3 linked regions of the Astyanax mexicanus genome follow. The main gene of each other region encodes a partner of the protein of the gene in region 3 in a complex. Links are inferred from orthologs where the notes say so. Each region holds a gene or a part of one and is shown on either strand. Other genes may lie near its edges.

The links.
Region 1: the proteins of f7 (region 3) and poglut1 are in contact, whole or in part, in a crystal structure (PDB 5L0S), measured with the Homo sapiens proteins. The link is inferred for Astyanax mexicanus from reciprocal best matches to the Homo sapiens genes F7 and POGLUT1. Residues at the interface, in NP_000122.1 of Homo sapiens: Asp108, Gln109, Cys110, Ala111, Ser112, Ser113, Pro114, Cys115, Gln116, Asn117, Gly118, Gly119, Cys121, Gln126, Ser127, Tyr128, Arg139, Asn140; in NP_689518.1 of Homo sapiens: Met103, Phe104, Pro105, Ser106, Arg107, Arg132, Asp133, Pro171, Ala172, Trp174, Pro178, Thr179, Thr214, Asn239, Gln240, Ala241, Val274.
Region 2: the proteins of f7 (region 3) and f3a are in contact, whole or in part, in a crystal structure (PDB 6R2W), measured with the Homo sapiens proteins. The link is inferred for Astyanax mexicanus from reciprocal best matches to the Homo sapiens genes F7 and F3. Residues at the interface, in NP_000122.1 of Homo sapiens: Leu73, Lys78, Phe91, Arg96, Leu99, Phe100, Ser103, Ser120, Lys122, Gln124, Leu125, Ile129, Cys130, Phe131, Cys132, Leu133, Pro134, Phe136, Glu137, Gly138, Arg139, Lys145, Gln148, Ile150, Val152, Asn153, Glu154; in NP_001984.1 of Homo sapiens: Thr49, Asn50, Lys52, Ile54, Glu56, Trp77, Lys78, Ser79, Lys80, Phe82, Tyr83, Glu88, Asp90, Asp93, Gly141, Gln142, Thr144, Glu162, Arg163, Thr164, Leu165, Arg167, Phe172, Tyr188, Trp190, Lys191, Ser192, Ser194, Ser195, Gly196.

What each region holds. Positions count from the first base shown.
Region 1 is NC_064428.1:22,564,697-22,572,242, reverse strand, and holds the start of poglut1 (protein O-glucosyltransferase 1), read left to right. Parts: upstream 1-4,014; 5' UTR 4,015-4,091; coding exon 4,092-4,167; intron 4,168-6,136; coding exon 6,137-6,248; intron 6,249-6,402; coding exon 6,403-6,546; intron 6,547-6,639; coding exon 6,640-6,775; intron 6,776-7,177; coding exon 7,178-7,299; intron 7,300-7,546. Other genes in the region: calsequestrin-2, read right to left, coding at 500-736. UniProt on the Homo sapiens protein: Dual specificity glycosyltransferase that catalyzes the transfer of glucose and xylose from UDP-glucose and UDP-xylose, respectively, to a serine residue found in the consensus sequence of C-X-S-X-P-C.
Region 2 is NC_064413.1:36,714,693-36,722,151, reverse strand, and holds the start of f3a (coagulation factor IIIa), read left to right. Parts: upstream 1-3,948; 5' UTR 3,949-4,178; coding exon 4,179-4,245; intron 4,246-4,376; coding exon 4,377-4,485; intron 4,486-5,464; coding exon 5,465-5,661; intron 5,662-6,164; coding exon 6,165-6,349; intron 6,350-7,459. UniProt on the Homo sapiens protein: Initiates blood coagulation by forming a complex with circulating factor VII or VIIa. The [TF:VIIa] complex activates factors IX or X by specific limited proteolysis.
Region 3 is NC_064428.1:19,304,913-19,312,709, reverse strand, and holds the start of f7 (coagulation factor VII), read left to right. Parts: upstream 1-4,576; 5' UTR 4,577-4,621; coding exon 4,622-4,685; intron 4,686-4,830; coding exon 4,831-4,994; intron 4,995-5,898; coding exon 5,899-5,923; intron 5,924-6,008; coding exon 6,009-6,122; intron 6,123-7,118; coding exon 7,119-7,259; intron 7,260-7,797. Other genes in the region: f7l (coagulation factor VII), read left to right, coding at 1,886-2,436. UniProt on the Homo sapiens protein: Initiates the extrinsic pathway of blood coagulation. Serine protease that circulates in the blood in a zymogen form. Factor VII is converted to factor VIIa by factor Xa, factor XIIa, factor IXa, or thrombin by minor proteolysis.

The sequences.
Region 1 (7,546 bases), about 3.3 Mb from region 3:
CATAAGTAGACGTGTTCTGCAAGAAGACGTAGGTGTAAATTCCCAAAATAAAGACAGAAAGACTTCTAGCTGACTACAAAAAGCATCTGCATTATGTCCTAGAAGCCACAGAACGTAGAAAAACCTCACAAGACTATGACCTTTTTAGGAATAGCACATAATTAAAAGTGTTCTGCAAGAAGACGTAGATGTAAATTCCCAATATAAAGACAGAAAGACTTCTAGCAGACTACAAAAAGCATCTGCATTTTGTCCTATGGGGGGTGGTAAGCATTGTCATAGGGCAACATTTCTGAGACTTCCTTGGCTATTAGCAAGTGTCCAGAAACTGTAAGCTCTAGGTCCTTGTCCAGATAAGCAAAACCAAGGAATTCTACTTCCACAGAAAACTCTCTACACTGCCATAAATATGCAAGACTCTAAATCACCAAAAATACTTGTTTCACGCTCAATTCAAGGTTTGTTGATACCAAATGTCAAGAACTCTCTTCCATCTTACCTCCAGCACCATCTCCCTCATTCGGAACTGCTGCTGGAGCTCCCTGTCAGATGACAGGCGCTCGTGGTACAGCAGGCACAGCATGTCATATTTCTTGAGTGCCTTCTTGTAGTTCCTCTCATTGATGTCCAGCACACGGTCCTTGCCATCAAAGCTAGGGATCGCCAGGCCTTCCTCTGCTAAGTTTCCAGACAGAAGATTCAAGCTAGGGAACAGGAGAAGCCAGAGAGGCAACATGGCGAGTCTGGAGAACGGCAGGTCCAGGGAAAGAAGACAAGGCGAAGAAGACAGGATTTCCTGTGTGCAGAATCCCAGAGGCCTAGTATGGCTCCCCTGAGACAGGCCACCCCCTTGAAAAGATAGAACAAAAGAAAGAAATCTTAGAAAAGCTGGGATTTAGCTACAAGTCCTTGTGTTTCGTCAGCCAGAGACTTCTATCTCTCTCTCATTCTCTTTCTCTCCCACTTCCAGAGCATGATAAGGGATGTTGGGACACATTCGACTTCCACAGACTTGCCTTACTGCCTAATACAAGTGAGTCCATTCCCCTGTGTCTGAAGGCCATTTTAGATGCTCCCTTGTTCCATGGCTAAATATAGATGATGTGCTGATGAAAATGAGGACGGGTAGGAGCACCACTGGGAATCACTTTGACACGCAGAAAACGAAGAATGAAAAAGAAGATTGTGTCAAGTGGTCTTTCAAACTTAGCTACAAACTTTTTATTTATTTTTATTTTTTTTTATTTATTTCGTTTTTTGCCAAAACATATACACACATAAAGAACAGAACTTAAAGAAAAGAGAAAAAGAAAGAAAAAAATCACATCCTCTATCTTGCATTTAAACAATCTCTTTAAACAACCGAAAAGGTACAGGCTGAAGCTATTAGCTTATTTAGCCTACCCTTTTTTACCTAACTAATACATATATATATCCATATATACATCTATATATACATACATATATGTATATACAGTACATACATACATACATACACACATATGTCTATATGTGTTTATTACAAATTGAATTGACACAAAACAATATAAAACAAAAAACAAATAAACAAAAAAAAAGAAAACACCAAACACAAAAGAGAAAATTAAGATAAAAAAAAAAAAATCATTAATCATTTGAAAGTTTACAATATATAGACTGCTCATTTAGCAGTTGTATATTTGTTTATAGCCCTGTGTTTAAACATTATTTTAAATTTATAAAGGGAACTACACATTCTTAATTCTTTGTTATAGTTATTCCACAGCTTTACTCCACTGACCAATACACATCTGTTTTTTATATTTGTCCTTGCTCTATTCCTTTTAAATATATCTATTCCCTTTAGTTCATAGTTGTTCTCTTTAGTTTTAAACTTCCCCTGAATACAATTTGGAAGTAATTTATTTTGTGCTTTGTACATTATCTGTGCAATATTAAGGTCAACTAAATCACAGAATTTTAAAGCATGTAATTTAATAAATAATTTGTTGGTTGGTTCGTTGTATTTTGCTTGGTTAATAAGTCTTATAGCTTTCTTCTGTAGTATGGTAATTGGATTTGTATTGGTTTTATATGAGTTTCCCCATATTTCCACACAATAGGTCATATAAGGCAACATAAAAGAACAGTACAGTAGTGACTTCTGATTCAAAATATGTTTAGTTTTATATAATATTGCAATGGTTTTGGCCAGTTTTGTTTTTATGTGGTTTATGTGCTGTTTCCAACATAATTTATGATCAATTATCACACCCAGACATTTATTTTCATACACTCTTTCAATGTTAATATCATTGATCATAATTTTTACTTCCTTCTTTATTTTTCTATTGCCAAAGATCATAAACTTTGTTTTCCTTAAATTTAATGATAGCTTATTAACATCAAACCACTTCTTTAAAATGTTTAATTCTCTTTCTACTGTATTTAAAAGCATATCCAAGTTTTCTCCAGAGCAATATAAATTGGTATCATCAGCAAATAAGACAACGTTTAACAATTTAGATGCCTTACAAATATCGTTTATGTACAAATTAAACAATTTTGGTCCTAAAACTGAGCCTTGTGGCACCCCACATTTAACCTTCAGCATATCTGACTTGGTATTATTTATTTGAACATATTGGTATCTATTATTAAGATAACTTTTGAGCCATGAGTATGCTATTCCCCTAATACCATATCTCTCTAACTTTTTCATTAATAAGTTGTGATCAATAGTGTGATCAAAACTTCAATACATATGATGGGCCGCAGAAGATGGCTTGGGAAACAACCACAGATGTGTAACTTATGAGGTGTTATATTATCAGAGATGTGAAACACTGACCAGCATGCTCATGAGACCCAGAACTGAGTAAAATACAAGTGCTTTATAAAATAAGTTTTTCATTGCACTGCTCTTCTATATCTTTTTATTTATTGTATACAGTGATATGTGTTCATTTGTAGATGTTTATATTCTTCCACTCTGTGTTTTTGTGTGAGATATTTTTATCTATGCTTATACAGCTCTATTAAAACTTAAAGAGACCACTTCAGTTTCTGAATCAGTTTCTCTGATTTTGCTATTTATATGTATATGTTTGGTTAAAATGAACATTGTTGTTTTATTCTATAAACTACTGACAAACTTTCTCCCAAATTCCAAATATAAACATTGTAATTTAGAGCATTTATTTGCAGAAAATAAGAAATGGCTGAAATAACAAAAAAAGATGCAGAGCTTTCAGACCTTAGATAATGCAAAGAAAACAAGTTCATATTCATCAGAAATCAATATTTAGTGGAATAATCACAGTTTTTATGCATATTGGCATGTTCTCCTCCACCAGTCTTCCACACTGGTTTTGGATAACTTTATGCCACTCCTGTTGCAAAATTCAAGCAGTTCAGCTTGGTTTGATGGCTTGTGATCATCCATCTTTCTCTTGATTATATTCCAGAGTTTTTTTCAATTAGGTAAAATCAAAGAAACTCATCATTTTAAGTGGTCTCATTTTTCCAGAGCTGTATATATGAATATATTATAATTTATATTTATTGTTAAAAGTTATAATTTGTAGTTTCACCATGCCTCATTGTAATAAGTGAGATATACCTAAAGCCAGACCTGGGCATTTTACGGCTCAGGCCTTCACATATTTACCTCAGAAACTGACCTGGAATTTACTGCACTTGCTCAAGATTTCTCTCACTGAAAAATTTAAAAGTATTGAAGTGAGGTAAATGAGGTAATTAGCACTAATAATGGTATAATATTGGTGTGATTTATTGGTTTTATGCCCATTTTACATTGTTATTTCCTAATTGTAATATCTACTCTTATCAGTAATGGCTTATCAAAACCATATAATTACTGTTTTTATTTCATTATTATTTATATTTTTTACTATTGAGGCAAACTGAGGTGAATCTGTTGGTCTGGCCCTTTAAAACACTCCCAGTATATCATGTGGGGCCTTTGTGCGCTTTGGGACGCAGCCCGAGCCCTCGCACGCTGAAATGGGAACACAGGCAGACAGAAGTAGTTGAGTGTTGAAGACGCGAGCACGTTTACCGGCCAGGCAGGACTAAACGATGCACAGAAGATGGAGCTGAGGTGGATTTTAACGCTGTGTTGTGTTTTTCTCCTGAGTGGAGCGGAGTTTAGTGCTGCTCAGAAGGGTAAGAGCTTTATAACGCTTTATTACAGGCTTTATAATCATTTAGCAGCGGTGGAAAACCGGCCTGAGTGAATAAATCAGCCGGGAAACCCCGTTCACTCTCTGTAACCAGGCTACCTAACTCACATACCTACATGCTGCCTGCCGTTACTTCAGTTAGCATTAGCCTCAGACTCCTGAGACTCCTGTTACTTTAGTCTGAAAGTCTTTAATTTGCCAGAAATTAAAATACCGTCAGTTAACAGCTTGTTTAAATGCGAATCTGGGATAGGTAAAGGTCCCCTGTGAAGCTAAGTATTGTTTCTACACTATTATCCAATGTTTCAGCTCCATTGAACATTAAGAGGCACCTTGTAGTTCTGTAGCCACATACTGTTTACTTATCTTTTCTCTGTATACTAGCTTCATTATCTCATTTCACCCTGTTCTTCAATGGTCAATAATCCATTTTATAAGTAAAAGTACAAGTGCTCTATCAAAAAGTGACTCGAGTAAAAGTGCTCTATCAAAAAAAGTAAAAAGCACTCTAGAGCTGTGATGACTGACAGTGCTCTATTAAATAAGTGACTTGAGTAAAAGTGCTCTATCAAATAAGTGACTTGAAAAAGTACTCTAGTGCTCTGTCAAAAAAAAGTGGCGATAAAATATTTAAGTGCTCTAATAAATAAGTGAATTGGGTAAAAGTGCTCCATCATATAAGTGACTTGAGTAAAAGTACAAGTGCTCTATCAAATAAGTGACTTAAGAAACTACTCTAGTACTTTAATACTAAATAGGTATTACAAGGTAATACAAGAGATCTACTAAATAGGTGAATTAAGTAAAAGTGCTCTATCAAAAATTAGCTTGAGTCAAAGTACTCTAGTGCTTTAGGAGTTAAAGTGTTCTTTAAGCTCCACACTACAAGTAGAAGTACTAAAGTATTCCAAATATTTTGTACTTAAGTATTGCAAGTAGTTTATTGAGTAGTAAAATATACTACTCAAGTACAGAAAGTAAACATACAGTATTGTGATTTGTAGTTATTAACGAAAGCAGTGGAAAGTTCTCAGAGTGAAATGCAGAACTAGAGCAGCATGGTCTTATACGATCAGCTTGATCGCTTGATTCACACTCAGTGATGAGCAGCTTCATTACACCCTGTGACAATAACAGTATTAAACTCATGGGAAAAAAAATAGTGAAATTAAAGTGGAAGTAGGAGAAAAATATAATGCTGTGGTAAAGTACAGATACAGTATTTTAGTACCTAAGGTAAGTAGTAAAGTAGTTCTACTTTATTACTATACATCTCTAGGGTTGTGCTGGAGACACAACAGTGCTGCTGCTGAAGTTTTTAAATACCACATCAGTTTCACTCCTGGACTGAGAACATGTCACCATGCAGAAATATGTAGGTCCTGTGGGCAGGGCAGGGTCCCGTGGGCAGCATTCTGTGGGCAGCGTCCCATCCACTAACGAACATTGATGTTGCTATGTTTTCATTCCCTCAATGTAACAATCTGTTCCCTCAGTTCCATAAATGGAATGCTGGGAGGGAACAGAGGAGGGCTGTTCAACAAAAGTTAGTACTCATTATAATGTTTCACTACACCCCAAAGTCCATTTCACACCAGAGTTTGATTGTAAGCCTCCAACCACAGTCTTTATTGCAATAGATTAATTGTAAAATATTATTAAATTGTAAACCTTTTATTTTAGAACATTTAGTTTGAAACATTTAGTTCATGATAGGGGTGTGCCATATCGTATCGTTCTGGATCATTGACTTGTGTTACAAATCTGATTAAATTCTTGTATTTTTTAATCTCTCACTTAGGGGTGTGGAGTATTATATTGTATGTAATAATATTTTTTTTCTTGCAGTGTATAGTGTATTTTTGAAATAGTTTTTTTTTTAAGTGTTTTGTCATATCGCCAAGAGTATCGTTATCGTGAAAATACCATGAAATATTGTGATATTATTTTAGGGCCATATCGCCCACCCGTAGACACAAGATGGCAGAAATATCTGAACAAGATCTCTGAAGCAGCCAAGAAGTTTCAGCCATGCAGCCAAGAGAACTGCAGCTGCCACACCAGGTACTAATCTCAGCTGTTTAAATGTAAGGCAAGTTTGTATTTTTAAGGGAAGCATGAGCTCTTCTTCAGAGATGTAAGGCTTAAGCTTTTATCAGTCTTCTGAGATACTAAATAAGTCTGTCTTTGTCAATTCTTTCTCCTTGCTTGGTTCCAGTGTCCTGAAAGACGACCTGCAGCTTTTCAGAAATGGCATATCAAAGGAGCTAATGCTGAACACGGTGCAGCGAGGTGTGGGAACACACTACCAGGTTATCGGGCACAAGCTCTACCGAGAACAGGACTGCATGTTCCCGGCAAGGTCGGTGCTGTACTGTATGTGTGGCTTTATATTGCCTGTGTTTAACATACACCTTACAGTACAGTAAAGTGGCTTCGTCCTGTGTGTGTACAGGTGCAGTGGAGTGGAGCATTTTATCCTGGAAGTGATTGACAGATTGCCTGATATGGAGATGGTCATTAATGTTCGGGACTACCCTCAGGTGCCTGCATGGTCTCAGCAGCTGCTGCCTGTTCTGTCCTTTAGCAAGGTGCGTCAATTTTCACACACACACAGCCAACAAATAACACACACAAATGCAAACCTGAATGGTATTGTGTCTTAAAACTTTTATTTTCTTTAGATCACCTTGTTATACATTGTAATGCATGAGGAAAAAATACTGTTTTATAATGTTTTGCATATTCATCCTAATTGCATTTAAGATCTGGTACCCTGCCTCTGATTTGATTCAAAAGTATGATGATTTAGGCCTGTGGTTTACACAGTACTGATAGTGCTCGTTGGTATGCCTTTTTAATTCCTGTTTTAGCCCCATTAACATAGTATTTCCAGCACAGAACCAAAGAAGCACATTTTGAACACCAGCTCTAGGATTTGGTGTGAGGCTTTATTGTTTTTGACACTCTCTGGTCTTCCTGTATGTTTTTAGACACCAGACTACCGGGATATCATGTACCCTGCGTGGACGTTTTGGGAGGGAGGTCCTGCAGTGTGGCCTATTTATCCCACTGGACTGGGACGGTGGGACCTGATGAGAGATGACCTGAAAAAGTGAGTTTCATCTATTTACTGCAATCAATCAGCAACTTGATTTTCACACCTGTAGTTTATTTTTCTGGCCCAAATCATTTGAAGCTTTTGTGTACTTGGATTTGTTTTTCTCCATTAGTTTGGTTTGTTTTTGCACAGCACAAACCTAAATGCAACAAAATGCGCCCAACAAATCACGAGTGACACATGGTCTCCTCTAATTGGACATAGCTGTCGGGAATAAGGAACACAGGAACAAGAAAGTAAA
Region 2 (7,459 bases), on a different chromosome or scaffold from region 3:
ACAGGAATGCAAACTTATTGGATAAGAACACACTAGATGAGGGGGTATTGCCCCTTGTGGTGCCTGGCATGCAGACCCGTTGCAGCAGGACAAGCAAACCAATCAATTGCCTACACCCCCGAGCTGCCCCTAGGGCCTCCAGACAACAACTGGTAATGAACTGAATGCATAAAAACAAACTGTGTGAGCACCCCTTTAAATACTGTGATGGTCAAAGCAGGAAAGTACAATGACACCTCCCCTCAAGGGGGCTCCTCCCACTAGTTACTGATAGTAGCCAGCCTGCCAGGTTCATGATTCCTGCAGCTGGCAAAATATGAAACTTTGGCAATCATAATGCATTATCCATACATTTTGCTAGGGGCCCCCAAAATGTCCGGAAACTAAAATAATAAACCAAAAAAAACTCAGCTACTATAAAGCTCCTATTTTGCTTAAAAAACACAAAATATATTATTCGAGTTTAATAGTTGTTTCACTAATAAAAAATACATTTTAAATTGTTTGCTTTTAGATATATTTTCATATCACACTGTTGACCAGTAGTTATACTATTGTGTAGGACAATGGAATGCACTAAATATTTGTTAAACGTATACCAAATCCTTTCATCTACTGGAAAGCTAGGAGCTTTAAAATAGTGAAATAGTTCAAAAATATAATAGAGTTTAAAACGCAGATTGAAAAATAAAAAAATCAGTACTACACTTCTTATTTATGCCACGTCTGCCTTATTCTCTATATAGTTGTCAGTCTTGACGTTGTCAGTCTGCCGGCCATGAACTCTGATACACACACTAAAGACTCCAACTCCCAGCACGCACCCACATCAGACCCTCTAACTCACCAAGCTTCTGATTACGCACACCTGGTCCTGTTAGTATATATACCCCACGTTTTCAGTAGCTCCTCGCCTGGTATTAAATCTAGTTTCTATATCTTCTACATTGTGTTTCTTTAGTTTATTGCTCTTTTGCTAATAACCCTTTTTTGTATTTTTTTTTTACTTTTTACTCTTCTTGCTCTAGTACTTTCTGTTTATTGTAGCCTACCCCTTTTGCCTGCTCTCTCCCTGGTATGTTGTTTACTATTGCTTCCATTTTGTTAATGACCCTGCCTGTCGCTGACTATCCCTTTATTAATAAACTGTGTGTTTCTGCGTGTGTCTGGCCAGCGTGAAAATAGTGCACTACTTTGGGTTTTTTTACTCTTTTTTTAGCACTGTCTGAAAACATTATATCTAATATAAGATATAAGCTGTGTCTGAAATGCAAGAAATGTTGATTTGAGGCCTTGCTGCCCACACTGTCTCACTTAGAAGGCAGTGTAGTGATGATAAATCTGACTGTCTCTGTACATGAATTAAAAGGGGACCGTACATGCTGACATTACTACAGTATGGACAGTTCACTGCAAGATAATGATGTCATTTAGCTGCGTTGTCATTATTTTATATCATTTTCAGTCACTAAAATGTGAGACTTAGATTACTGAATTTGATTTACTCATGACTGGGTTCCTTCATGTCTCAGAATTCTGCCTGAGTAAGCAGCATTTTTTACATTTTAAAAATAACCACAGTGTACAATGTACCGAAGCAGAACTTCTCTGAATTATTTCATCACCTCTCTCAGGAGAAGCACTGCGGTTGATATGATGCAAAATGTTGTCACACAGCAACCCAGCCAGCATTCTCATGTGGGGCTCAGATAAGTGAAACACAATCTAGGTGGGTTTTAGGTGAGCATGGTCTCTAAGTGAGTTGGAATACATACAGCATACAGTATTTTGTTGATGGAATCTAGCTGAGTTTCCAAAATGAGCCCCATCATTACAGCCCACCTTAATCTACGCCCCATATGGGGCCCATTTTGAACCCCTATTGGTCCAATCACTGACCCTGATGGGGCCCATTACTGACATCCATATGTGGGCATGTTATCTGGGAATGAGTTCACGCACATAATGACATGCCTGAAATTGTTCACAAACTTGTGGAATTCTGTTCCCTATAATAGTCCTTTATGTAGTGATCTGGTTTTTGCATCTAGGGGACAGTGAATAGGACACAGTTTTGGACAAATAGTATAGTAGTTTATAGTTTATACCCAGATAAACAGCAATAGGCACATTTTACTCTTTCCTAAACACTCCCTAAAACATTAGTAATCAGTTTTAAATAAATTGTTCAACCATGTAGATTATGCAAATCATTAATAAATTATTTCTAAATGTATTATTAATAATTAATCATCAGCAGTGCATGCTGACTCTTTCATAGCAGCTTGGATGATACAATCTTTAGTTCATCTCATTGGCGAACAAAGCTGAGCTCCGGGACTGTAGTTTCAGGGAAATGTAAATCACATCATATTTTACTGTTCATCTTTTACTGTTGAATCACACTTACATCACACTGGGTATCCAGGGGAGGAAGTCACACCCTTCTCATCTTTTAGACTGCACTGTAAAGTAAATAAAGGTGGTTTGAGGTGCTTGTTCTGACAGACACATTTAACCCATCCCTGCAGTGAACACATTTACATGCACACTGCAGAAAATACACATTGTGATATTGTAAGCACATGAACCCAGAGTGTCTGACAACCATTACTGAGGCATCTGAGGAGCATTAAGGGCCTCGCTCAAGGGTCCAACAGTGGCAGCCCGACAAAACCAGGTGTCAAACCCACAACCTCTACCCACAACCTGCTCTTATCTGGGTTATCACTGTCCCACACTGTTTACACCATTTTTGTAACTATCTATATTAGTTTTATTGGCCCTAAAGTGTAACCCTGTGGAATTCCACAAGATATGCTACACAACCAACAGACACCAACAGTTTCTGCATTAGAGTTTATGGCTAAATTAGGTGGTAAACACTGTATTTCACTGCTCTGCACTCGTTGTTTTCCCTTGTCTAAATTCTTCTGAGATGTCTCAGTAGGAAAAGCGTATTGTATTAACCAGAAACAATAAACAACTCACAGACTGCATAGGTGGGCAAGTTCCTCACAACAGGTGAAAAACAATTGGCAAAAGATATGACATGTATATGTGTGTGTTACACATCTAGATTTCTATACATAAGCATGTGTGTGGTACATGTGTTCCTGTATAAAGGCTTGTAGGTGGTACGTGATCTAAAAAGTTTGAGAACCACTGCTTTCGGACAAAACAGAATCTAAGCACTAGTTTTCTAGCTACATTTTTACAGTCATTAACTAATCAAATATTTTGTAAACGTCAGCTGCCTGTGTGCAGAAATCCAGCACTAGATATATGGAAAATGTTTCAGATCAACTGTTTTAGCCATTTGTAAAAAAAAAATGCATTTTTAAGAGATCCTTTGTTAAAAATGAGTCTAATATCATTCATAGTTTTCATCATATCAACAGCTGGGTTGGTTAAATAGTGCTCAATGATATTAAATCAGGTGAGCTGGAGATGGAACTGGACACATACATCCACACAGTGGATAGAAGCATCCAGGAGAAATCTGAAACTACTTTCTATGAACGACTTTCTTTAAAAAATTATTAATGTTACTTTTTAATGCATTTATTCTTCTCTACAACTGTTTACATAATACGTGGTGTTAATTCAGGTAAAACACTCTAGTTGCTGAATTTTGAGTTATGTTTTTGTTTCATTTTGTAACATTTTGTTAGGACCCTAAGAACATTACTCAAAGCCCTGGTTTTGATTAATGTTCTAAGGGTCCTATCAAATGTGGTGCCTCAGTTAATTATGATAATGATTTTTCTCATGATTATTATTAATGGATATCTTAATTATTCTTCACATTTATAAACACAGTGGTTGTGAACATTAGAATACCTCAGAAATCCCGTAAGTTTCCCTGCAGTCAGTCAGGGCGGATCACCATATATGGTCATTAGTGTGGTTCAGTCAGTGTGAGAGAGAGTGAATAAGAGGAGGGGACCCGCTGGAGCTGTGAGGAGTGCTAATCTGCGCTGGCTCCGTGTCTGAGGGATTTTTACCGCACTTAGCCCAATTCTCCCGGGCTGTATAAATCACACGGGACCAGTCTACAGGAGCTCAGTTTCACCTGGACGCAGCGGGGTCACCTCAGCCTCGGGAGCAGCTGAACATTTTACAGGCTTGGAGTTAAGTTGAGTTTTCCTCTGGGAGAATTCACAATAAAGAGCACGATGCACACTAAACCCTTCAGCCTGCTGTGTGTGTGGCTGCTGGTCTTGGGAAAGGAGTTTGTTTCAGGTGAGGCTGCTTAGCTCCGGTTTTATTTTATCTTTTATTTAATCTATTTTATATCCTTTCCGTGATTTCCAGTTCTGTTGCCTACAGTCTTAATTAAATCTTTCCTTTTCCTGTTTACTTTTTTTGGGCAGGCACTTTTCCTAAAGCCCAGAATGTCTCCTGGTATTCTTTGAACTTTAAGACCTTATTAACTTGGGGTCCCAAGCCTGTAAACTATTCATACACTGTAGAATTCTCCAAGTAAGTAAAACTTCTATTTATTTCAATTTATTTCTCATGTATTAGTTAATAACTTTTAGCACAATGCTTATTATTATTATTATTATTATTATTATTATTATTATTATTATTATTATTATGGTTGTTATTATTATTATTGGATTTTATATAATGATTTATGACATGATGACACAACAGCATAATAACACAATTATACCAATTTAAAAAGCAATAAACATTTAATTATATATACTTTTAAATATATATATATATATATATATATATATATATATATATATATATATATATATATATATATATTGAATACCTTATATATATATTGAAAACCTTGAATATCCACTGTTTTACTAGTTAACATACTGGCTAATTTATTAATAGATTCTCTCTACAAATAAAATATAATGAGCAGAATCAAAGTCAGCAAAAAATTGTTAAAAATTAGGTAATTCGTGTATATTTCATACAGTAAGTCGATAATGTAAGTATTGTGACTTACAGGGAAAGTTGTCTACAATTTTACCTGTTTTCTTAAACAACCTGTTATTTGTGAGCCCATATTCTCTTCTGCATTTGGTATTGAAACTTATATTCCACTGCTTACTACTTAATAATCCTAATGATTATTATTCAGTAACTACATGAAAACAATTCAAACTGTGTGAAGGAATAGGGAATTATGAATGAAGTCCTGAACCTGTTGACGGCCCGGTTTATTTAAAACATGAAATTTGTGAATGAATTTTTTCACAGTTACGGTCTGACATGACTTATGATTTTGACTAATTCATTAAAATAATCAGTTTATTTACCAAAACTCAAAGGCTGAGATTAGGCTTTGTGATTTATTCAATCTGACATTTGTGCTTTGTTGGAAAATTCCACACCCTTTGCTTGTTTCAGCTTGCTGTAATCACTGTAAGACTTTAGTTTAATGGATTACTGGATTTCAGTCCTAAATTCTTTTGTAACTTGGTTCCAGACAGAACGAAAACAGGGAGAGGAACCCTCTCTGTATTCAGACCAGCGATACCGAATGTGATCTAACTGCTGATCTCAAAGAGCTGAAGGGTCGCTACAATGCTGATGTGCTGTCAGAACCAGTGCGGGGGTTAAACCCCCCTGACCTCATTGAGCCCCCGCACACAACATCTGCCTGGTTCATTCCTTACCAAGACAGTAGGTTTCTGTAAAACCTTTTTTTATTTCATACACTCATATCTCTGTTTAATAATTAGTTTGAATTTTGATGTCACATATTTTGTAATTATTGTATTTTTTATAATGAATCCAATTACAATTTAACTCAGTTTAAATCAGTTTAATCAAAGCCACACATTATGTTATTTGTGAAATGTAAAGCATCATCCTGTCGCTGTCATGCCAGACCTTATCTTTACAAAGTGGCAGCTTCACAGGAAATTGACATTTTTATTGGGTCTTTTGGCATGCTTTTAAAATTGTTATACATTGTAAAGAATAACTACTAGATTCATATTATAACAGAAAGTCAAAAACGGCAAAAATATACAGAAATATGTTATAAAGATACAATCTTTTTGCCTCACAGCAACAATAAACACATCCACAGCAGAGCATTACGACTCATATTTACAAATTTCTAATTCTAATCCTGTTTGCACAAAATTTATTGTATATCTTTGCTCCTTCCTCTTTTTTAGCCATCATCGGCAGCCCTGAATTTAAGATAACAGTGAACGAGGATCAGCGGAAAATAACCCTCTACGTAAAAGACACCCCAACAGCTGTTTTAAATGAGCAGAAACAGAGAATGACCATTCGGGACATCTTTAAAGATGACCTGCAGTATAAGGTCATCTACAAGAAAGCCAAGAGCTCTGGAAAGGTATGTAATGATTGTAAATGTTTGTTGGCTTCAGTTCATAAAAATAGTTTATGTTTAATAATCGACTGTGTATCTATATGTATGGCGCCTCTGTTTAATCTCTAAGATGGCAAAAAGGGAACAATACAAATATCTAATTGTCATTTACAGTACTTTAATGTAATGAACTTCATATAGATCATTGTGGATTTATATATTGGTCCATTCATCATAAAATGTGTACAAAGGACACATAAAAGTGGTTATTAAAAAATATTTGGTGTTTTTGAAATGGCTGTGACATTATGTTATATTCCAGTTTCCATGTAAAGACAAAAAAGATCATCACTGTTCAAAGCTTCAGTGTTTAAATATTAAAGGATATTTTTCTTGATGCCTGATAAGCCATTTATTACATTGGTGTGTGACAAAGTTCAATCAATATTATTCCTGTTTTGGGAAAGTGATACCTACTAATTCTCACCATATATCACCCAAATATGATCTTAAATTATTAGTTATGATATAGTAGCATCAGGTCAGATCAGAGCACCTCATAAACCTGAGTTCATGTGATGAGACGGTATCACAGTGTACTGTATGAGGACACTCCGTCAACAGTCTAATTGTACTCGAAGCAGATAGGAAACACGAGTTGTGAGTGGATATTTCATTAAGCTCATTCTGTGGCTTTTTCTGAATGGAATTTTAATGTTTATTATTTTATACAGTTAGATTTATTCAGTTTATTTTTGTGATTGATAACATTTCAGGCTTTTACATTTTCACCTTTTTAAAAACATATCCTGCGTTTATTCTTACATATTGTGGATTATGTTTAATATCTCTCGCTTGGGACCCCAGTACACAGCACTCCCATTCTTAGACTTTTTTTCCAGGCAGTTGAATGAGTAGAGCTTAAATTTATATATGTATTATATGTATATTCAGATTTAGTACAAAATGTATTACAAAGTGAACATTTTCATAATAAAATATATTACGTCTTTCATGGAGGCGCCTAAATATGACACTTAATTGAAAAAAGGAGTATAGGCCATGCATGCAATTAAAAGTCCAGCAGATTATCTATTAAACTTGTTTTATTGTTTATAGAAAAATAAATGCTTT
Region 3 (7,797 bases):
TGAGAAAAAAACACCAACTGCCATAGAGCCATGTTGCTTCACCCATCAAAACCACCCACTTTAATTCAAATTCGATTTATATAAATTGATCAGTTTGCAGAATCTTAAAAACACGTTTTTTCCCCTTTACATTTACTTTTATTTGATTGCAGACAGAAGAAGCACAGGATATTTCATATGTTGTCTGGTCAACTTTTATTTGATAATAAACAGGACTGGCAATTGTATTTTTTTCTGCAATATATATGGCAGTATTAAAAATACAGTAATGTTTACCATTTTCAACTGAGGTCAATGTTCCAACATGATGATCATGATAAAAATGGATAATTCATGATCCTTTTTTGCTATTCATGCTGATGGCAAAGCTGTCTGACCAGGGGTTCAAAACACCTTGCTATATTTATTTGAGGAGCATTTTTCTCACAGGTTTGTTACAAACCAAACTAGAGATCCTCAGTCCTCAAGGGCGTTGGAGCGGGTTTGATATTGGGGGGGACACATCTGCTTATATGAATCAAAGCCCACCTTATGTTGTCTTAGAACAACATTGTATTGGCATGTCAATTCTGTTGTATATTTGTATATTTATATTTACGCCACCTTTTTTCGACTAAAAGTACTTCTTATGATGTGGTCTTTTAGGTAAAAGAATGTAACCTTATGTTTCATAGAGATTTTTGGCAGAAGTTAAAATAAACATTAGATAACCTAAACCCTCCTAGTCTATTAGTTTCATGAGCTTTTACCTAAGGACCAGATATATTCCATTAGTAAATCTAAGGGGCTAAGGGATTTTAACAGGTAAACTCAATAAATGATTGTTTAACAGTTGATGCGCTGGATCCGGTGAAAACACACAATTTTAGGGCAGTGATCAGGGATAAGAAACTGCTTTAAACTACCAACATAAAGTAGTGTACTGAAATCTGGCTATCCACTACATCCAGCTTCTAGCTAACTGGTTAAGCTAGCTAAAAGATTTTTCCTTCATTGTAATTTACAGTAATCCTAGAATCCTAGAATCACAAGCTCATAGTGGGTTTGATCTGTGGGTTTTGATTTGTTTATTTTTAATTAGCTATCAGAAATTATCTCAAAACAGTTTACATGGTTAGCTCCGTTACCTTACTTTTAGAAAAATCACAGTATATCCAGATATGTTTTAACGTCAGCTCGCTGCACCCCGATGGTAAATCTAAAAAAAAAAAACTTTACAAATCCTCCACAACAAAGGGGGGGGCTTCCCCACTCTCCTACTGACATTACCTGTTTTAAATCATAATCAATTAATGTGTTTACCTTGTTACTAACCTTAAATTGCCAACTTATTTTTTAAATGTGTTGTAGGCCTGAAATATACTGTTCCACAATGTATTGCTCTTTGCTCTTATATGCAGTGCTTTCTTTGCTTTACACATACAGCCAATGTGAGAAAGGCCTTAAGTTGCTTGGAAGTTACTCTGAGGTCTGTTTGTGACCTTGCAGACTTTTGGCCCAATCTTTGGACTTTTGGAGTCTATTCTATCCATAAGCTTTAGAGATTTTTATAACATTTTCCAGTTTTATCAACTCTTTAGAAATCTCCAATATACAGACATCCCAAGTCTCCTGGAAGTATATCAATAACGCCTCCCTGATGCCCACAAGTCATAGAAAATCTCCCAGAATCTAGAATGAGTGGCCCAAGAGTGAAAACAAAAGTTCACGGAGGCGACCCAATTGCGTGTGTGAAAGTCCAGGTCTGGGGGTACCTACCTGAAAATAATTTTTGCAATTTGGGATGTCTGTGTGTACGTGCCAGGTGTTGTAGGCCTGAAATGCATAAATATACAGCAGTTTATTGCTCTTTTAATTTCTTTCTTGTTTACCTTCTCCCTTTCAGGCGAGCATATCCGTTTCAAGAAGGAAGGCACAGAGCAGACTAGACAAGTGTCTAAAGTTTTCATCCACCCTTTGTACAATCACTCATCCACTGACAGTGACATAGCACTGCTGCGCCTGCGCAGGAACATAACATTAAATCCCTACATTGTGCCCATCTGCCTCCCGCCATCCAATGGCACATTTGTTCGCACCCTGGGAACAGTGCGTATGTCCACTGTGAGTGGATGGGGTCTGCTGTCTCAGTTCGGACCTTCGTCCACTGTGCTTCAGAGGTTGGAAGTGCCAAAGGTTCCCCTAGAGCAGTGCCAAGCCCACTCAGGTCTCACATTAACCAACAACATGCTGTGTGCTGGGTTTAAGGAAGGAGGTCGGGATGCGTGTAAAGGGGACAGCGGAGGACCACTTGTTACCCTGTACAATAAAACCTGGTTCCTGACGGGCATAGTGAGCTGGGGTAAAGGCTGCGCTCGCTCAGACATGTATGGGATCTACACTCGTGTTTCCATCTTTGTTGACTGGATTATGAAAACTATGGCTATGAATGAATGAAGGAACATCTTCAAATATCTTACAAAATTATAAATATTAAAAATGTTTAATTAGCATTCTATGAAAGAATGCATATATGCTTATATATACAAAGTGTTACTTGAGTTTGTAAAACCTTGAGAAGTTTCTGTATTTTAACACAATTCCTTAAAGGAGAACTCCGGTGTGAAATGGACTATGGGTGTATTAAGACATGATAAAGAAGTACTTACCTGTGTTGAATAGCCAACCTCTGCTCTCCCACAGCTTTCTGAAATCCAGTATTTTTTCTGCACTTTGCCCAAAAAGGCTTTAGAATGAGTGAGACGGGGCATATTTGGCCCCTGCAGATAAATCTCCTTTAACACTGTTATTGAGGCTCAAAGTAGCTTCACATTTCACTGGTAGAATCCAGAGAGCCCTGACATTTAAAACAAGGCATTTAAAACTTTAAAACTGCACAAGAAGTTTATTAAAAGCCACTGTTTACATCCCATAGCTTAGGTGAATCCCCCTGCACCATCATCTTAAATTTAAGTCACGAAATGTCAACCGTTAAGCACGACCAAATAGGTAGGATAGTTGAGCAGATTACATAACTGCAAATGAATTCCCTGGAAATGCATGAATTACAGCTGTTGCTGAAAATATCTGGTTACTGTCAATATTAGAATGCAAAGAACCAACAACAAATTACATAAACATTGCTCAAAATGTTTTACTATTTGTGATCGATGGTTAAATTAAATTTAAGATGGCGGCACCTGGAGATTTATCTACGATATGGGATGTAAACAATGGCTTTTAATAAACTTCTTGCGAAGTTATAAAGCTATAAATACCTCGTTTTAAAAGTCAGGTCTCTCCAGATTTCACCAATGAAGTGTGGAGCTACTTTGAGCCTGGATGACAGTGGAAGACATGCCCCTTCTCACTCATTCTAAAGCCTGTTTGGGCAAAGTGCACAAGACACTGGATCTCAGAAAGCTATTCAACTATTCTGTTTTTATTAAGTTTTAATAAACTCAAAGTCCGTTTCACACTGGAGTTCTCCTTTAAAGTCGATGAGGAAAACCAAATAAAAAAATGAGACAAAAATGTTAGACTTGGACATTTATTTATTAAGGAACACAATCCAATATCACATATCTGTGGGTGAAAAAAATATTTAATGCACTGCTTTCAGTATCTTGTGTGGCACCCTTGTGCAGTAATAACTGCAACCAACCGTTTCTGGTAGTCTTAAACATGAGCTAAAAGAAATTATAGTCCATTCCTCAGTATAACATTGTTATTTTCATTTTTGTTCTTTAACCATTCTTTGGTAGAACAACTGGTGTGCAACTGGGTTTTTGTCACGCTGCATAACTCACCTTCTCTTGAGTCTTGATTTTCTGACTGGTTTGCTGACACAGATGCAGCAGAACAGGCTCTATTTTGCCCACAAAACGTGTCCATGTGATCTTTAACATTAGCCAATAAGAGAAAGGCCTTCGGTTACATAAAAGTGTCCCTGTGGTCTTGCAGACACTGGGTGTGATTTTTGGATTTGTGTTTTTTTTTTTGCTTTTCCAAGCCTCAGAAATCTCCTGTGTTTGTGACAGGATACATTTTCACAAACATCTGTTGTGGAGAAGATTGTGCATTTGATTGACACCTGCTTTTCAAATAAAACATGGCTATGCCCATTTACATCTGATTGTCATCTTGATATTGATTGAAACCTTGACTTTAATTTCACTCTAATAACCACACACTTTTTGCCACTCACAGATTTGTAATATTGGATTATTTTCCTTAATAAATGAATGATCGATTCTGATCATTTTGTCTTATTTGGTTGATTTGCTTGTCTAACAATCTGATTACATTTTAGGTCAATTCTATGTAGAAATATAGAAACTTTTAAAGAGTATATGTATGTTTCTGTATCAATAGCATGTATTACATCAAAATCTGTTATATGTACTATACAATTGTACAATTGTACCAATAATAAAATATAAGATTTAATTGTATAAGTAAGGTTTGTTTTAGTTTTTTTAAAGAGTTATCTGCAGTATTATTGATTCTTTTTCCCAGCCTCAAAATTATATTATTGGATCTTTGGGGAAGGTTTTTAGCCTTTCCTGATTGCACAGTTCCCAGACTTTGGACCCTTCAGCTGTGAGGAGCAGAAAGATCAGGACGCCAGCCATCATCCACCATGCAGCTGCTATCTCTGCTGTCTCTGATACTCAGCCTATTATGCTGCTGCTACACTGCTTCAGGTAAAATACATGCATGAATATATGAAAATGAATGATTGCTTAGTGGGCATGTATATATATATATATATATATTGAATTAATTGTTGTGATGAATGCTTTGTGCTGGGGTCCCACACCTGTGTAAATATACTTGGTTACTTCATAGTGTTTGTAGGGCGGAATGAAGCCCATGGAGTCCTCACCAGGACCAAGCGAGCAAACTCTGGCTGGTTTGAGGAACTGAAGGTTGGCAACCTTGAAAGGGAATGCTTAGAGGAGAAGTGCTCTTATGAAGAGGCCAGAGAGGTGTTTGAACACACTGAAGCCACGGTCAGTATCATGAGATATGGACATTACAAAATATATATATTTTTTATTTTCACATGAATTATAGTGGAGCAGTTTTTCTCATCTCTAATAACAGCACAATGAATCGTTAAATATCACAGAATCTGATACAAAAAAATTATACCTTTAAATTCACTGACATTGACAAAAAATAACACCCCAGCTTGATGCAAAACTTGACATACAGTTATGTCTTAGACACTGTATGAAAGTGCTAAAAGGATATGAGAGGCAGCTTTTGGGTAGTGTACCTCTTGGTGAGAGATCACTGACTGCTAAAGAGTCCATTATGACACACTCAATTTTTTCCAAGTTGAAAGATTTTGAGAGGGAACATATCACTGGACTGAGAAAAAACAGGTGATTCTACTGATTATTCACCCTATAGGTCACACACTCTTCTTACTATTAAAGTGACACATTGCCCTAACTGTTGGTGTGATGATCTGAGGAGTCTCTGCATGTGACAGTCAGTCACCCCTTGTATTGATACAAAGAATATTAACAGCTAAACGTTATGTGAAAAACATCCTAAAGACACATGTCTTGCTTCTTATGGCAGGACTTTCCAACATTGGCATTTTTAGCAGGACTATGGTAACACACATACAGAATGGGTTTTTGCAAAATTGCAACGTTTTCTTGGCCGGCTTGGTTAACAGAACTATTGACACTCGAACATTTATGGAACTTGTTGGGTCGCCAGCTTCAGCAACATGTCTATATATGTTCTAAAAGCCTAGCATTTATGTATAGTTTTATAATAAATATTGACATACTGACATAAACTGACAAATAGACTTTTATTGATACATGGTAATCAACATAGCTGTAATCAAACTGTTGATATAGTTAATTTCTTTTTTTTTTTTTTTTTTTACAACAGAATGAATTCTGGAAAATTTACAACGGTAAGATGTTCTGTCACTGACACTTCTTTAATTACCATGTACCACTTATTGTTACTGATCTTGAGCTTTTTTATTCTTTTAACAGTTAAAGACCACTGTCAGTCGAATCCATGTGAAAACAACAGCACTTGTTACCTGTTAAAGGAGTCCTATACATGCTTGTGTGCACCAGGTTTCAGTGGACGTAACTGTGAGCGTGGTAAGATCATCACTTAATCCAGATTTCTTCTGTCTCCTTCACCAAGGAAACAAACTACTGTACCTAACTGTCTATTATTAAACTAATTATTAGCCTATTTATGAAGAAGATTCTGCGAAAGCTCTTTTTGTAAGAATTAATATGAAACCAATCAACTATTATTATGTAGTATATAATGGTGCAATGCGGGCAGTGAACGCAGCACAGACCACACATGTAAACAGCATGAATCAGCAAATACATTGTTTGTTTATACCAGTATATTATCTGGTTGATATATCAGATTAAACTCCGCCTTATCAGCAGTTAAGCTCAAATAAAAAGAAGTATAGTTGATAGCTGGGTCAAATCGAGTCCAGATCACATTCTCACCTTAAGCAAACCAATTCACAAAAAAGTCTATGTGTTGGGTGGGGGTGGGGCATTTGCTCTCTCTGGAATTCAGTGTAACGATAGGGGGGTCCTAAAGAATGGCTGGGGTAATTGGCCCTCCTTCAAAATATTGTGAATAAAATGGTAGTTGCGAGCCTTTTGTTTCATGAATGATCCATGCTTAACTTGGACGATTTATTTTCCTTTTTATGTCTGAGACAACAGAATACCATTAATACATTAATAATTAGATAATAGTGGTGAGCCAAATCATTCTTTGAAGCTAACATCATGTTTTATATCTGTCTATAATTCCCAAAACCCTTGCACAGCACAGGTTAAGTTTACTTAACCTATTTTAACACAGTTTTTAAAAAGTTGCTAACTTAACCTTTCATTGCATTAAATGTATTGCTTTTTTGCTGGTCATCGATAAATATTGATATTGCTGAAGCTGTTGATTTACCTAATATTAGTAAGCTTCTAGCTTTTAGAAAATGTCAAAAGATGAGTTATATAACACATAATAATAAGTTACATTTGTATTATGGTGTTGATTTTCATAAAGATGAAAGTCTAGGATTTAAGTTAAATCTGTCAATGTTGTCCATGTTTTTTTAACAGTAATAAAAGACATTCCTGACTCCTGTCTCCACAACAATGGAGGGTGTGAGCATTTCTGTGAGGAGAACAATGGTGAGCGCTTCTGTTCCTGTACAGACGGGTACTTCCTTGGGACAGATGGTCAAGCCTGCCTGACCCAAGGTGAGACTACTGCACATGACGTACAAGTTACATGCAACATGTTTTATTTTTTTACTAGATTGTGATCATTTATTATAAGTAATATACAGCTCTGAAAAAGGAGAGACCACTTAAAAATAATGAGTTTTTTTTTACCAAATTTTACCAAATTAAAAACCTCTGAAATATTTAATCAAGAGGAAGATGGATGATCATAAGCCATCAAACCAAGCTGAACTGCTAAAGTTAAGTTATACAAAAGCAGTAAGTAAGACTGGGTTAAGACCAGTAAGTAAGACCAGGGTTATTCCACCAAATATTGATTTCTGAACTTTTTCTGAAATTTTATGAATATGAACTTGTTTTCTTTGCATTATTTGAGGTCTGAAAGCTCTGCATCTTTTTGTTATTTCAGCCATTTCTCATTTTCTGCAAATAAATGCTCTAAATGAGAATATTTTTTATTTGGAATTTGGGAGAAATGTTGTCTGTAGTTTATAGAATAAAACAACAATGTTCATTTTACTTAAACATATACCTATAAATAGCGAAATCAGAA